Arabidopsis thaliana: one gene and its partners. The protein of the gene in region 3 interacts with the protein of the main gene of each other region in a pairwise test. Each region holds a gene or a part of one and is shown on either strand. Other genes may lie near its edges.

Region 1 (4,588 bases), on a different chromosome or scaffold from region 3:
GGCGAAAGGGAAGCTTGAGAAGTCAATGGTGGCTGATAATGATTCTGGTGAGAGTGTTGAGAGTGAAGTACGCACTAGTTCTGGAATGTTTCTCTCCAAACGACAGGTTAGTTAATATTCTGAACATGTAGGCATCTATAGAAATTTATGTTGGCTATATCGTAGAACTTTGCAATGACTTGTTAGAAGCGGTGGTTTTGTATCTGGATTGATTTGGATGTTGAGTTTCGTGCTAATCATTGGAGAATGATTGTTATTATGAGGTCTAATGTGGCTTTTGTGTGCGTTGTACTCCGTTAGATTACTTCAGCAATTAGGCAGACTAGTTCTATGTTACTGATCAACGCTTGACCAAGTAAACATGCATTTCCTGCAATACTGTAGGATTCTGTTTCTGTGGTTAGACAAAGTAGCAGCTTCATTGCAAATATGGATAGTCTAGAGATTGTGTGATTCACTGATTGTTAACCTTTGAGTTTGAATGGTATGGTTCTATGTATGTGTAGGATGATATAGTAAGTAATGTGGAGGCAAAACTTGCTGCGTGGACCTTTCTTCCCGAAGGTATTTTTGGCCATATGTACATAGATTTCCTAATTCTGTCTCTTTGTTTAGACTTTAGTTGCTTACAACTTCTCATCTCTTTTTTGTCTGTGTTGCGGATCAGAGAATGGTGAATCCATGCAAATATTGCATTATGAGAATGGTCAAAAGTATGAACCGCATTTTGACTACTTTCACGACCAGGCTAATCTAGAGCTCGGTGGTCATCGGATTGCCACAGTATTGATGTACTTGTCCAATGTTGAAAAGGGAGGAGAAACAGTGTTTCCCATGTGGAAGGTAAAGACATATATTACTTCTGGTTCCTTAAATTTTCATCTAATATTTCGATTTCGTTTCCTGAGTAGCCTCATTTCAGTTTGATCACACATTCTTGTAGGGTAAAGCAACTCAGTTGAAAGACGATAGCTGGACCGAATGTGCAAAACAAGGCTATGCAGGTAAGATCACTGTATATAGCTTGCTTGATATAGAATACTGTATCCTGAACATGCGTTTGGCTTAATTGTGAAAGCTCAACACAAATGGGGATTGTAGTAGTTTGATTAAATGATAATGAAAGGTATAACTATTTTTCCAAATGGTATATTGCTCTATCTGATTTATGTATCTTTGCAGTGAAACCGAGGAAAGGGGATGCATTACTGTTCTTCAATCTTCACCCAAATGCAACCACAGATTCAAATAGCTTACATGGAAGCTGTCCAGTGGTTGAGGGAGAGAAATGGTCAGCAACCAGATGGATTCACGTTAAGTCATTCGAAAGAGCGTTTAATAAGCAATCTGGATGTATGGACGAGAATGTGAGCTGCGAAAAATGGGCAAAGGCAGGGGAATGCCAGAAGAATCCAACATACATGGTTGGTTCAGACAAAGACCATGGATATTGCAGAAAGAGTTGCAAAGCTTGCTCATCTTAAGAACAACAAGTAAAATCAAAGCTCTTATTAAAGGATCAAAATTTTTGTATAGCGAAAAACCGGGTTTTCGCCATTCGGGTAGATAAACATATCGTCAATAGAATGAAAAATTTAGAACTATATACTAAAAAAATAATTCTGATTCTATGTTACTGGTTTCATGTGCAAGTTATGTTCCTTATGGTTCATAACTAGACCAAAACTTAATAAAAGTCGGTTTATGTTATCATCAACCTGAAGCAAGCGATACATGATAACTGAATTAAGTATTATACAATCAGTAGTAGTGTACATGAGATGATAGTTGCCAAAACTACGTCATGCACTTCGAGACTCTATATTTCTAATGAAGTGTAACAATCATGCAATTACCGTTAATTAGGAGCCTTCAAGCATGAGATCCTCACCTTCTCTCTCTTTCTCTCTCAGAGCTTTTGCATTGCATCACTCTATTTCCATAAAGCCTTTGTTGTTGTCCTTTCAGACATTTCTCAGCTTCTTCTTCTTCTTCATCTTCTCTCTTGTGTTTGAATACCAAAAAATGGGAAGACCTCCTTGTTGTGACAAGTCCAATGTCAAGAAAGGTCTCTGGACCGAGGAAGAAGACGCTAAGATCCTTGCTTATGTTGCTATCCATGGTGTAGGAAACTGGAGCTTGATCCCCAAAAAAGCAGGTTTTTCCAAAAAAAAACTCTCTCATTTCTCTTAACTCTTAAGAAATCTCATTTCAAACAAGTCTGAGTTATTTTTCGTTCTTCGGCGCAGGTCTGAATCGATGTGGAAAGAGCTGTAGACTAAGATGGACTAATTACTTAAGACCTGACCTTAAACATGACAGCTTCTCTACCCAAGAAGAAGAGCTTATCATTGAGTGTCATAGAGCCATTGGCAGCAGGTAATGAAGCAACCTAATTGCTAACTAACTTTTTAACAATGACAAGAATCTATCAAACTTTTTATCTCATTAGTAATAATTGTAACCTCTGATGTTTTCAGGTGGTCTTCCATTGCACGAAAGCTTCCAGGAAGAACGGATAATGATGTGAAGAATCACTGGAACACAAAGCTGAAGAAGAAGCTGATGAAAATGGGGATAGACCCGGTGACTCATAAACCGGTTTCTCAACTCCTTGCAGAATTCAGAAACATTAGCGGCCATGGAAATGCATCCTTCAAAACAGAACCATCTAACAACTCTATACTCACACAATCCAACTCAGCTTGGGAAATGATGAGAAACACAACAACAAACCATGAGAGTTATTACACCAACTCTCCAATGATGTTTACAAATTCCTCTGAGTACCAAACTACTCCATTTCATTTCTATAGCCATCCAAATCATCTGCTCAATGGAACCACATCTTCATGCTCTTCCTCATCATCTTCTACTAGTATCACTCAGCCAAACCAAGTACCTCAAACACCGGTTACTAACTTCTACTGGAGCGATTTCCTTCTCTCGGACCCGGTTCCTCAAGTAGTGGGATCCTCAGCTACTAGCGACCTCACTTTTACGCAGAACGAACATCATTTCAACATCGAAGCCGAATACATCTCTCAAAACATCGATTCAAAGGCCTCGGGAACATGTCATTCCGCGAGTTCCTTCGTTGACGAAATACTAGATAAAGACCAAGAGATGTTGTCACAGTTTCCTCAACTCTTGAATGATTTCGATTATTAGATCCCTTCTTTTCCCTATTGTTGTTACTTCTCTTGTAACTGGTTTATGATTTTCAAGAACTATGTTTTTTCAATAAGTTATATCTCTTCTCTTATTAGTACTTACTTAGTACTTAAGTAGTAACCAAGTCTCTTGAAATACAAAGCTCAAAATTAAACACCTTTTGATACAGAAATAGATCCTCTGGCTCTGGAAGAAGGTTTTAACTCTATTTCTATCATTCGTCTTCTCTGCAGACGATTTCTCTCTGCAAGCTCCCAAAGTCGAAAACTTTATCAGCAATGGCGGTTTTGTTGTCATCTTTCTCTCCACTAGGAATCAACATTGACATGAATAAGAATCTGGGTGTTTCGTATTCTTCTTTCCCTCAAATTCATCTCTTTAAGGGTTCTACTCCACTGCGTGTTCGAACATTCGTCGTCTCGAGTCGTAAAAGTGTGAAATTTTGCATCTTTCACAGAATCATTCATAAAGTTCTGTCTTTTCTCAGTTTATGTCTTGTGGGTTTTCAGATTCAGGAACTGGTTTGGCAAGTGAGGATAAGAAATTGTTGCTGGAACGATATGGTTATGATGCTAATGATGACTTTGGGTCTCAATCTAAGGTCTGTTTTTTTTTTCCATAATTGTTTTTTTTTGGTTTGTGATGAATAGTTGAGAGATGAAACTTTTAGTTCTCATTGTAGAAGGCGAGAAGGAAAGAAGAGAAAATGAGTGGAAGGAATAGTCAACAAGTAGAAGAAGTTGTTGTTGTACAGCCAAGAACAACTCATAGGTTACTGCAGGTGTGTATTTGCTTATTTTATTGTGTTTTGCTTTGGGGGTTACTGTTGTTGGATATCTATAATGTGTAGATTGTTTTAGGTTCTTGCAGGAACGGCGAAACGAAAGAAATTGCTTTCTCTTAAGGGAATGGATGTGAGACCTATGATGGAAGTTGTTAAAGGAGCAGCTTTTGGAATTCTCCAGGTAAGAGTAACTAATTTTAGGAGCTTCTGCGTTTGTTGGTGTCTGAGTTAACATGATTCTTCTCATTATTTAGGCTGCTGGTGGTTGTCCAACGTCTCTGCGTCCTGGTAGGTGGTTGGATTTGTATAGTGGTACAGGGTCTGTTGGGATTGAAGCAATCAGTCGAGGATGTTCTGAGGTAGCAAAGAAATAAAGAACTGTGATTGTATGATCTTTGTTGGATTCTCTTTTACTTTAAGTGATCACTAAACATGTGTTTCCATCTTGGACTTGAATTATTTCTCAACAGGCACATTTTGTTGAGATGGATCCTTGGGTTGTTTCAAATGTTCTACAACCAAACTTGGAACACACTGGGTTTGTTGATGCTTCGGTTATACACACTGCTCGAGTTGAAAACTTCCTGGAACGTGCTGATAAATTAGTAGGTATGTCTAGTCTTGAAGATG
Region 2 (6,579 bases), on a different chromosome or scaffold from region 3:
ATAAGAATAAAACTTTCTAATCATAAAGAGCTGAATGTTTCCTCTTTATTTTCTACAATAATCTTCTTGGTGGCACTGGCATGGTTAGGTGCAATGCAATAAAGCCAAAACAATTTCTTCATCGTTAGGTACTTTGATTTCACCATTGTGCGAGAAAACAGCATGTTGGTTTCCATTGATATAAAACGACAACCACTCTTCAATCGTAAAATAAAAATGTTCTAAGAATGAGTCATCATTTCTATTCGAAGCAAAAGTTCATCCGAACCCAAATCCTTAATATACAATTGGATACGTTAAAGTTACAGTATCCTAGGATTTGTCAATCTTATTAAAAAAAACTAAGATTGCTTTAAGAAAATTATAGGTTTTCTCCACTTATAAAGTTTAACTTTTATAATCTCTCTCTCAACGAACTATGAAAACAACATTAGTAAATAGTAATATAGAAGTCTAGAGAAAAAAGTTGAGACGAAAAGGGTAAGGAAACACTCTGAAAGCAGCTTCCCATCTCTATTTGATCGACAGAGATACGTACGTACACAAACTGGTTAGAAGGAGATAGATTCAGACAAGAGAACCAAACCGAGAATTTGAGCTTAGAAAAGTTAAGGAAACATCAAGTCTTTACTTTCTCAAGATGGCTCTCAATTTCTTTTGCTTCACGTACATGTAATCTACGTATTCTTCAGCTCTACCGTCTCTTTCTCTCTCTCTTGAACTTTCGGTAGTTGAAATACTGCTGTTGAGTATTTCAGAAACCTAACCCTCAAAATCAATTAACTTTATTGCACTCTATATTTATCATCTTCAACCACAACAATCTTCTGTTTCTTTGGAAGCAACTAACTACAAAGAACATCTTCACGACTAGAAAGACACATACCCTTCTGTCTTAAGGACGAGACCAGAAGCTTCTTCTATCGGCTTTGTAATGGTCTACAAAGGATAAGAAAAAACCAAATCCAAACTAAAGCTATGCATTTTCCACTTGTTTCGGCTTGGAACAAGAGAAGGAGAAGCAAATCATATGATACGGATCCATGTACGTTCCTTTTCTCCATCATCTTCGCCAGATGGCATAAAAGTATGTTACTGTTTTTGTTTTTCGACATTACTACTACTGAATATAAAGGGTTTAGGTAAAACTGAATCACCATCTGTTTGAAACTAACCTTCTTCTCAGGGGTCTACAGAACAGCAGAATGCTGGCAAATCGAAGATCAGGCTTCTCAGCCAAGGAAGCGAAGATTCGGGTCATCAGTTTATACCCTCAAGGAGATGGAGGAGGCCACAAGTTCTTTCAGTGATGAGAATCTCCTCGGTAAAGGAGGCTTTGGCCGAGTTTACCAAGGCACTTTAAAAACAGGAGAGGTAGGAACTATATAGCTTCATTTATGTGATTTACAGGCTTTGTAATGTTACAAAAACTTTTCTATCGAAGAGGAGCTATTAGAGTAGGATACATATCTTAATCCCTTGTTATTTGAAGGTTGTTGCAATCAAGAAGATGGATTTACCTACGTTTAAAAAGGCTGACGGAGAAAGAGAATTTCGTGTGGAGGTGGATATCTTGAGCAGACTCGACCACCCAAATCTGGTCTCTTTGATCGGCTATTGTGCAGATGGGAAACACCGGTTCCTAGTATATGAATATATGCAAAATGGAAACCTGCAAGATCATTTGAATGGTAAGTCAACAAAATAAGAGCCCAATCCACTAAAACCAATTGGCGACTAAACCGCGTCTTTATCACAGGAATCAAAGAAGCAAAAATAAGCTGGCCAATAAGGCTCAGAATTGCACTAGGAGCAGCAAAAGGACTCGCGTATCTCCATTCAAGTTCTTCTGTTGGGATTCCAATTGTTCACAGAGACTTCAAATCCACCAACGTTCTACTAGACTCCAATTATAATGCAAAGGTTCTTATACAGTTAATAGAAATGGAGGGTTTATGCAGCACTAATACCAAGCATAGACTAAAACTAAGATGTGAGTGTAATCCTTGCAGATATCCGACTTTGGACTAGCAAAGTTGATGCCAGAAGGAAAGGATACTTGTGTCACAGCAAGAGTTCTAGGAACATTCGGCTATTTCGACCCAGAATATACATCGGTAAAGATTCTTACTTATATTTCACACATGATTCTCTTCCGATAGGGTAAACTAGACACTACTTAAGAAAAATTAAAACTTGCTAGTAATGACATAAAATAGCCTGGAAAAGGAACTTTAATCACACTCACATATCAGAGCCAATAGGCAACGGAGGACAATTTTTAGCATAATTTTTGTTCCCTTCTTCTGTGGCAGACAGGTAAACTTACTCTACAAAGCGACATTTATGCATTTGGGGTTGTGCTGCTAGAACTACTTACTGGACGCAGAGCAGTTGACTTAACTCAGGGCCCAAATGAACAGAACCTGGTGCTACAGGTAAAATGGACCTTTTAGGTTCTATGATTCACAAACACAAAAAGTTCAAAGATCAGGAAACTTAACATAGGAATAAACTGATCAATTATCTCTACGTTTCAGGTTAGGAATATACTGAATGATAGAAAGAAATTGCGTAAGGTTATAGATGTCGAGCTGCCTCGGAATTCATACAGCATGGAAGCTATAACCATGTTTGCTGATCTAGCATCACGGTGCATCCGTATAGAGAGTAAAGAGCGACCTTCAGTGATGGATTGTGTTAAGGAACTGCAACTAATTATCTACACAAACTCGAAGGGTGGTTTGGGTGGGACGATTCCTACATTCAGAAGGCTCTAGACACTGAATTCTTCGAAACAAGTAAAATGGATTACTGTCATTTTTCCTAAAATGAGAGGTCACTGATAAAAAAACACTTGATAAATATAAACAAACAATACTAATTATGAATTACCGGATAATTTCAATTCAACTTCCAGCTAGGAAACTTTGATCAAGCGATATTATTTGGATATATATACTATAATTTCACTAAGAAAATCAAGCACTAGATGTATCCGTATAGTATGTTGTATTTGCTGCTATGAATGTTTTGCTTTAAGAGAAATGAGTACATAAATTCAGGGGTGTAGTCTTGTTTTTTCTTTCCTTCTTTCGCCTAATGCCTAAAGAATTAACCACATGTCTATGAACAAGAAATACAATCGCTGCCAATACAGGAAGCAGATAACAAAGATAAGAGTGTGTGTGGAGTACCTCTACTAAGATCATATAAACAATAGGTCGAAGCAAACGGGATTATCAACCCGACCCTTGGTCATGTCACATTTAGCTCCTACATAATAAAGCCAATCACAATGTTTGTTATAAATTCAGAAAAGGTTGAGAAGAAGACTAAAAGCTAATTGGTACACTGATGGAAAAACTGTACCCATGTTTACACATTTGCAGAGGAGGTCAGCTCATTATCAGACCCCACCATTTCTACTATAGGATTGGTGCATAGTGGAAGAAGTTTCTTCCGCATCAAATGCTTACGCCGCTGTAACATCAGAAGGACCAAAACTGTATCTGTCTTAACAACCTCGTATCCTGCCTTCTTGTACATATTGAAAGGAGCCTCATCAACCATCCTACAATGCAAGTATACATCTTTTGATGGACTAATCTGAGATATCAGTTCCTCACTCGCCTTCAACAAATGCCACCCAATTCCTCTCCTTCTAAGATCCTCTTTGACAGTCATGTTACAGATATAAGGTGATTCCTTAGGAGGAGTTGGAGAAGGAGGAGAAGCATTAGCGCCTCGTTTCTCCAAACAAACCTCAACAGTTCCAGCCATCACAGCCTCCTCCTCTCCATCATCACTAAACTCATCAACTTTTTTCCTAAAGAAACCAACTAAAGTAACTGCGTGTGGCAACACTTCTCTTCTCTCAATCAAATACTGCTTAATCAAAAACCGTAACACAGACTGATAACCAGAAGGTAATAACATCGATTCACCAAATGACTCAGCCAATAGATGCACCGTTGAATCCATCTCTTCATGTCTCATAACTCGAACCCACATCGATCCAGATTCAAGCTCTTGAAAATACGCAAATCCTTCAAGAGTTTTAAGCTTCTCTAACTCATCGTTACTCAAAAACCTCCCGGTACGAAACGATTCCTCTAGAAACGCGTAATTCCCGGTCGATTTAGAGTTTTCTTCTCCAGTTTCTGTAGCTGTCGAAACTGAAGAAGGAGGGAAAGCGAATCTGAGATTGGAGCGGTGAGATTTACACGAGTAGAGTAATGGATATCTATGTGAAGAAGACGAGAAGCCAAACTTCGTTGATTGGGTTGGTTTGAGAGAATCAACAGAGAAAGCTAGTGAGATGCTTAAAGCCGCCATTGACACACACACACACGATTTTCTCCGATTTGATTGTGGTTCAGTGTTCGCTAATCTGTTTATAACGAAATAAAATGGATAAAGTAACAGTCATACACTAATCTTTAAAACGCCGCGTTTTGAACTAATCATGAAGCTCAGTAGTTATTGGGCCCTTATGGCCCATATACTGATATAAAAATGAGGAAACTGTTATAAGCCAGTAGCTATTTGGGCTTAAGGCCCATATTGCGATATATATAGTTTTAATTTTTCCGAAGTTCGGCGATTTCAGAAGACGGAGGAGGAGCGAGGACGGCCGCCATGGATCCAGCAGGAGCATCGGTGGCCAGCGCAATCGGAGGAGAAGGAGAGAAATTCGCGGTGGGGAATATTTATTCAGTGAAGGTGATCACCGGAGATGAGTTCAGAGGGATCGTCATGGCTTACGACCCCATCCCCAACTTCGTCTTTTTTGATATCCTTAATTTCTTTAATTGTTTGTTTCATCAAAATTTGAGATTTAGGTATTTTCAATGTCTTGACCTGAATTGTGTTATCCTTGACGAGTTATTGGTTATTACAAGAGGGTACAAAACCTAGACCTGGGCATTTGAAGAACACTCGGATGGTGAATGCGAGTTTTATTACAGGGCTTTCGTATTTAGGCAAAACTGAAGATCCACTTGATTCAGACAACTTTTCTGTTGATCTTAATGGTCTCCGAGCTAAAGAGGCACTTGCTATCAGGTGATAAGATATTTTGTTGTTGAATCCTTTCAAAATGCAATTTTTATTGCTATTTGCTTGTTTTGAGCTTACTTGGGAAAACGTATTGAGCACAGGCAAGCGGAAGCAGATGCTGAAAGAATGGGAGTTGGTGTTACCGCTGAGGCTCAGAGCATCTTCGACGCGTTGTCTAAGACGTAAGGATCTTCTCTTTTTATACGTTTTCGGATCGAAAAATAAGCTAATCTCTAAGAAGGAAACACAGCTTAGAGTATACGGTAGAGAGGTGGGACGAGATCGTAATCTAATGTTGTTTAGTTGAACTATTAGTTCTTTGTAAACAATTGCTTGGGTTGGAGGATTTTGTTTTGTGCGTCTAATGTGTTATTCCCAAAGATAAATTGTTAGGATCTGGACATGATTTAGTGTTGTTTTGCTCTTGGTTTCCGGTGATGCTAGTTTGCAACTATATATATGTAAAGTTTCTATGTTTGTGGTTGTTGTAGATTACATATGTTGTGGGCTCTAGTGTCAAGTATCTTTAGTCTTCTTTGTGATACTGATACAGTTAAGAAGCTGTCTAGATACATAGTTTTAGACTACATAAATCCTTAAACTTTCTTTGTTTGAATTTGCTTTTTCTCTTTCGAATGAATCACATGTGAATTATTTTCCTTTTAGGCTTCCTGTGCAATGGGAAAACTCAGACATTCTGGTGATGAAAGAGGTACGCGTTCGTAGCCCGTATCTTTCAGATTGTGTCTTTGGAGGAACTGATGCTGCCAACAACCGAGTCAAGAAAGTGGTAAGCGTCACTTTCAGTTCATTGTGTAATGCCAATTAAGCCTCTGGTGTTATATTAGTCATTTGCATTCAATCGTGTAACGTTGATCAAGCCTTGGGTGTGATAGTAATGCAATTTTGCTTTTATCGCAGCTTGAGCTGGAAAGACGAAGGTTGCAACTCTTTGGCACATGAGGCTAGTGAAAAGAGTCGGTCAGTGAAATAGCGAGAAAGGGTTCGTTGCTACTAACCCGAAAGGCGTCTATAGATCTGATCGACCAGCGAAAAGCGGATATGTTTGCTTTTCGCATGTTGTTGTCTTTACTTAGAATCTGCTTGTCCTTGTAAAAGCAGATTAGAGATTTCTTGAGTTACAGCCTTACAGGGATTGAAATTTGGACTAATTTCACCCTGGTTATTGACAAGAACAGTGAGGTCTTGTCTTGTCCACTTTTTACCAGGGCTTGGTTTATTTATCGCCTGGAACTGTAAACTATTCTGAAATGTTGAACTACTTTTTAGTGACTTCTCCGGTAGATTTTTACATCTCGTGTGCTCTAGAACTGAGTTCCTTGATCAATGCAAAAGTTATAAGAAATATTTTTCTGTTGATTGTTAGTATTGAACTGTGTATAGATTCCAATGATGATCATAATAGACCGTGGTGATGTATAAAACCATCTTATTCGATACACAACATATACAACTATGGACACAACTACTTTGCGTTTGGGTGATCAAGCGTGAGCT
Region 3 (5,606 bases):
ATCTTATACAAGTAATCCAACATTTTAATATAATTTAAAGAAACGTAACAAGGACGTGGTTTGATGGTGGTGTTTTTAATCGTATCAATTTGAATCAAGTTCTCGAAGATATAAACTAAGGTCTTTCAGTCTGGGAAGCGTGAAGGTGAAGAGGATCTAAACTGCATCAAAAAGGAGAAGTGATAGAGTTAAGTATCAATTTAGAAGCTAAAACGTTTTCTTAGAATAACAGAAAACAAAACAGAGTACATCTTGACGAGATTGAAAAATGCTTATACTAACAAGAAAAGGAAGAGATTTTCGAAGAAGAAATATGGAGCATGTGAAAATTTAAGAAGGTATGGCACATATTGCTTAGACAAAATCATAAGAGGATGAAAGAGACACTGTAAGAAAAAATGAAACAAATAAAACGAGTTTTTGCAAAAAGATAGGGAGAGTCATAGCTCTCTGTAAAAAAAATTGTGAAAGAAATTCATATACATATTGAAAAGAATGTGAGAAAAATATGAGTTGTTAAAAGAAAGTGTAGATAAACTTACGAATATATTTCTACAAAATATCTTATTTTTAGAAGAGCTATACTAACTAATGCAGCGAAGATAAACGAAAAACAATAGTAAATTTGCGGGTACCAAAATGAGAATCGTCGAATCTATTTCCTATACAACAATTTATTTAATACGTAAAAAAAGACGTCGTTATCCTAAATATCTAAAGCTAAAGAGAGAGTCATTAACCAAAAAAATGTTCTTTTGCTAAATGTTGTAAAATCTAAGAGTTGTATAAAGGTTATTTCTAGTTATGTATTTAAATTGTTACTATTTGTCATGATAATTTTAAAATTCAAAGAGTTTATAATATTAACAACAAATAGATATATAAAATCATATTTTCAAAATTTTCAATAAAATATTTTAGTCACACAAAAAACTGTTAAATTTTTTACAAATAAATCCACGCATGAGTTCATAGCTAGTAAATAAATAAAGAAACAACAATGTTACCAAAAAAAAACTGGTTAACGTATTTTCTAGAATTAACATGTGATGTGTATTTTATTCATTAAGCATCTCCTTAGTATATAATTATATAAATATAAATTTACAAATAAAATAATACAAGATCTTTACTAATCTTTATGTGGAAAACAAAAAAAAAACATAAGTAAAACAAATTTATGTGGATAAGAAACGCCATACGCATTCACGTATTATCTTGCCATGTTAGATATGATTCTCAATGTTACAAGAAAACATTTATGGTAAAATAATAAAAGTTTAGATCGCAGACAATGGACCTAAATGATCCCATAATTCATAGGATAAGTTTTCATTCTTGTTTCGAGCATGTTTAATATTTCCACTAACTGTTTTGCCCTCTTGATCTCTACATTCTCATCAAAGTTAATTAGTTCATAATACCATAAACTATTAGTATCCTCGTTCTCTTCTGCATGAAGATAATATTTGAAACCGATATTACATTCGCTGCACTATATATGGATTTGTAGGTTAACTCTAACAAAATCCAAATTACTCTAAAATACTACACATACGGTCCTACAAATTACTAATTAAAACCAGTATACTACTAAGATTAAATGATATGCTATAAGAATTTGGCTCGCCAAAATATAAACTAGGAAGAAATAATGTGGGGATGATAAATTACTAAAGCCTCACTAAAACTCAAATATGTCATCATATCAATCAATATATGAGTGTTGAGATTTGCCGTAGATATTATCTTCCCCCACCAAATAATTGTACCTACACTACACCCCAAACAAGCATATAAGAACAAGTTAATTTAGGTTAAGCAAAGCTGACAAAAGATTAGAGGGAACCATCTCTAGTAAGCTTAGCAAGCAATGCATTGATAAGTGAATCCCTCTTCTCTGCTCTCATCTCCTCCCTCGACCGCCGTTGCTCCTCTCTATCCCGCCACATCCGCTCCATTGCCAACCTCTCCTTCTCAAGCTCCTCCATCTTCCTTCTCCATTCTTCTTCTTTCTCTGCTCTTTCCTTCTCCCTAGCCTCCCATCCTTCTCTCCACTCGCTCTCCATTCTCACTTGATGTCTCATAAACTCTTCCAACACTTCTCTTACACCATTATTGCTATTACTACTATTACTACCGCCTTTTCGCTTCTTTGCAATGTTCTTTTTCGGATTTAGAATTTTTGGGTCGTTGCTGACATCTACTAGCTCTTCATTCACATTCTCTTCTTCCTCATCTGAAGAATACTCTCTCTTTCTCGCTGCCCCGCTTGTTCCCCCTCCTCCTCCCTCGGATTCAGCCCATAGCATTCTCTGCATTCTAGTGGTAAATATATTTTGCATATCATCATAAAAAGGGAACTGTTGTCTCGCTGTCTCTGCCTCCATTGTCTCACATCCCTAGAAACATCAAGCAATACATCACCAATGAGATTGTATACATATAATTAAACTACTTAGCAGATTATGGACAACAAGATTCAGAAATATTTACAATGGTGTTTGTCTATATGTCCCGGAAAGATTATGGACTATAAGATTCAATATTTCTTGGTTACAAATTTTTATTTATTTATTTGTTCCATGCAAGACCTCCAAGATTATAAAACATCCACAAAATGAAAGAAGAGGGAGAGAGAGAATAGACCTTAAAACGAGTGACGAGGTTCTTCCACTTGCACTTGCACTGTTCAGGGCTACGAGGAAAGCTTTTGTCTCTCATCTTGTTAGAGATAACTTCCCAAAGAAGCTTGTTCCGTTTTGTCTCCATGAAAGTTTGATCTAGCTCTCCTCTTATCCCTATCAACTCTTTTGTCTCTTCGACGCTCCACTGTGGAAACCTATCCCCAACAGCTACCGGAGAGGCTATTTCCGGCGTTTGCGATTGAGTATGAAGATGATGCTTGTTGAGATATTGAAGCTGGTGAAGGTGATGATGCTGATGTCCATCCATATGAAAGAATCAAGAAGAAGAAACTATAAAAAAAAAATAAAGAAAAAAAATCACCAAACGATCTCTAAAGCAAAGATTTTGAAGAAGCTTTCACTTTTTCAGATCGAAAAACAAAATATTTCTTGTTTTTCTTTATCTTTTGGTTTTTGTGTATTTGTAATGTGAAAACGTTGGAAGAAAGAAGTCTAATTTTCTTTGATCGCAATTCTTTTCTTCTTCTCCACTCTCTCTTTCTCCTGTCGCCATCTGTCTACGCGTTTACTTTTTTCTCTGTCTTGGATTTTTTCTAATACAATTTACTTTTTTTTTGTGTGTCTTCTTTTGACAAAATATTAAAAAGAAAAAAGCTTTCGGCAGATTTGTCATTTCATTTCTAATAGTATATAATTAGTTAAAATATCGATTGAAATGGTATTATAGAGCAAAGGATAATTAGCGTCTTAAACTACCAGTCAATTCGTTAATAAAAGATATGTTGACTGGTGATCAGGAGAGATGTGGATATTTCTATCGTTATCTCATAATGTAATCACTTTCATTTGACAAATAGTATTCTAGATTCTGACAGTCGACATATTTGTCAAATATGTGTATGAAATGAGTTTATTACTGAGTTGGTTTGGTAAAATGGTAGGGATAATAAATTTAATTAAAATGATGATAATTTTTTATATTGCTTTAAATATAAAAAACAGTAAAATATTAAAGAGAAAGTCAAGTCTTTAAATAATATAATACAATTTTTCTTTTGTCAAAATAAATTAGAGTGAAAGTGTAAGAAAAACATAGGTGAGTGGTAAATATTTCCTATTGAGTTATAGAGCTCTTTATGTATTTTCTGTTTAATCTGCTTTTTCATTCATACTATAATGAGGAATCAAATTGATGTGACGATAACATTGCGTTGAGGTTTCATCATCACCGCGAGAAGTTTCGGTTTGTATACTTTTTGTAATAATACTGTGTGGTTATTAATTCTCGGCGACCAGTCATATCCTTAGCTTCATGCCCAAGTTTCTATTTACTACTTTGTCTTTGTTTATTTTTCCCTTTTTCAACAAAATTCGATATTTTTCTAATTTTGAGCACCTTTTTTAAATACAAAACTAGGTGACTTCTCTAGAATCTCTCGTTTCCTAAATTCCTTCACGTGTTATTCCTTGTATGGTTATCAAAATAACAAAAGTGTTGGAATGATTTCTTCATTCACGAAATGACAAATTATAGTGTGACACGTGCGTGGAACTAGCCAGCTAGGAACAACATTCTAGAGATGTGAAACTTGTTAGGCCAATTTTGAATTTTTTTAAAAGCATGAACATGACAAAAAAAAGCATGTGCCAAACTAATTCATTTTCAACTTAAGGTTTATTATGGGTTGGCAGCCCAAACCCATTCTACACAGTTTGGGCCCAATTTGTCTTCGAGTGATGTACAATTTGGCAATTGGACTCACATAAGAACAAATTTTGTGTAACCCCTACAATAGATGAAAACTGCAACTCTCTTCTAAAGTAAAGGACTAAAGTCAACCTAGTCCCTTAAATGAGGTTTGGAAAATTCTTTGTCTGCCTCGTTCACTTTTATTTTGCCTCGTTTTATGTATCTGTTGAAGGAACACCACTTGGTTGATTATGGTACGAAAAACATGTTATTTGGACTTTCACCAAATTTATGTCGATATAAAAAGATCAGTACAAATTTGTTATTGATTTTATTTTTAGAGGCTACATTTCCTATGGTTTGTGACCAGACTATAGCTAGCTACAATTTTTTTATTGTATTTTTATTGCGAAAAACTTAGTTGCATATATTATTCACTAAAACAGAGATTTTTTGTATAGTAAACAGTGAAGGTAAAATTGTTAGCAAACAAAAATTTTGTAGAGTCAAGAAAAGAATTTTTATATATATATATATATATATTTTTTAGAAACAACATATTTTTAATAATAAAAATAGGAAGCTTCAAATACAGCATTGAAAAGAGTTTAACGAAGAATTTTTGTTTTCGATTGTATTTAAATTTATATAATATATACAAACAAAAAAAAAAAAAAAAAAAAAATTGTCACGTGTGCGTTTGGTAGCTGTAAATGAATGCATCTTACACAGTAGCCCACATGTCGATTTTGGTTTTTCTTCATTTTTTCTTCACCACATAGCTGTTGTCTTCAAAACAATCAACGAGTTTTTTAGATTTGTTGATTTTGTTGTTTTGGATTATTGTTGATTTTGCCATTTTAGATTTTTCACTTTATCTATAAAAAAAAAAAAAACTATTTTCTGCCACTTAAAAGCTAAAATTTTGAGAAACTTTTTAAATAAAAATATGTATTTGAGAATTTTGTTTCATTATGTTTCCATTTTTTTTTTATAAAATACATAATAACAAATATTATACCCTAAAAAAATAGAACCAAGTAAACCTAAATGTGTAAATTGTAACTTTAGATATAATTTTTTCGGCAAATCTATGAATGCCACTAAAAATCCTTATCTGGTAATTGATTCATTTATTTATTTATTTATCACACTATATCACATCATTTACGTTCACAATATTCAACATATTAGGCGGACAATTTCTTTTGTCAACATCACGGATCTAGTATTTCCTTTTGACATATCTCGATCTAGAAGATGAAAGA

What was found.
Region 1: the proteins of AT2G38250 (region 3) and TDF1 interact in binary tests that used the Arabidopsis thaliana proteins (3 or more experiments, as listed by UniProt).
Region 2: the proteins of AT2G38250 (region 3) and AT1G24040 interact in binary tests that used the Arabidopsis thaliana proteins (3 or more experiments, as listed by UniProt).

What each region holds. Positions count from the first base shown.
Region 1 is NC_003074.8:10,673,162-10,677,749, reverse strand, and holds TDF1 (Duplicated homeodomain-like superfamily protein), read left to right. Parts: upstream 1-2,025; coding exon 2,026-2,158; intron 2,159-2,249; coding exon 2,250-2,379; intron 2,380-2,480; coding exon 2,481-3,171; 3' UTR 3,172-3,242; downstream 3,243-4,588. Other genes in the region: AT3G28480 (Oxoglutarate/iron-dependent oxygenase), read left to right, coding at 2-67, 385-447, 507-564, 668-843, 944-1,004, 1,183-1,484; AT3G28460 (methyltransferase), read left to right, coding at 3,453-3,606, 3,684-3,775, 3,857-3,955, 4,035-4,139, 4,213-4,317, 4,429-4,567. UniProt on the Arabidopsis thaliana protein: Required for anther development and early tapetal function during microspore maturation. Regulates callose dissolution required for microspores release from the tetrads.
Region 2 is NC_003070.9:8,502,416-8,508,994, forward strand, and holds AT1G24040 (Acyl-CoA N-acyltransferases (NAT) superfamily protein), read right to left. Parts: upstream 4,381-6,579; 5' UTR 4,339-4,380; coding exon 3,379-4,338; 3' UTR 3,373-3,378; exon of another isoform or gene 3,277-3,372; 3' UTR 3,198-3,276; intron 3,046-3,197; exon of another isoform or gene 2,781-3,045; coding exon of another isoform or gene 2,541-2,780; intron 2,457-2,540; coding exon of another isoform or gene 2,316-2,456; intron 2,163-2,315; coding exon of another isoform or gene 2,013-2,162; intron 1,924-2,012; coding exon of another isoform or gene 1,760-1,923; intron 1,692-1,759; coding exon of another isoform or gene 1,493-1,691; 3' UTR 1,375-1,492; downstream 1-1,374. Other genes in the region: AT1G24030 (Protein kinase superfamily protein), read left to right, coding at 979-1,087, 1,187-1,374, 1,493-1,691, 1,760-1,923, 2,013-2,117, 2,316-2,438, 2,541-2,780; AT1G24050 (RNA-processing, Lsm domain-containing protein), read left to right, coding at 4,642-4,795, 4,902-5,067, 5,163-5,243, 5,728-5,851, 5,983-6,024. UniProt on the Arabidopsis thaliana protein: Protein acetyltransferase with dual specificity triggering both N-alpha-acetylation (NTA), with a large spectrum of modified N-termini, including methionine, alanine, serine and to a lower extent threonine and valine as substrates, and epsilon-lysine acetylation (KA).
Region 3 is NC_003071.7:16,015,733-16,021,338, reverse strand, and holds AT2G38250 (Homeodomain-like superfamily protein), read right to left. Parts: upstream 3,130-5,606; 5' UTR 2,956-3,129; coding exon 2,650-2,955; intron 2,403-2,649; coding exon 1,839-2,402; 3' UTR 1,183-1,838; downstream 1-1,182.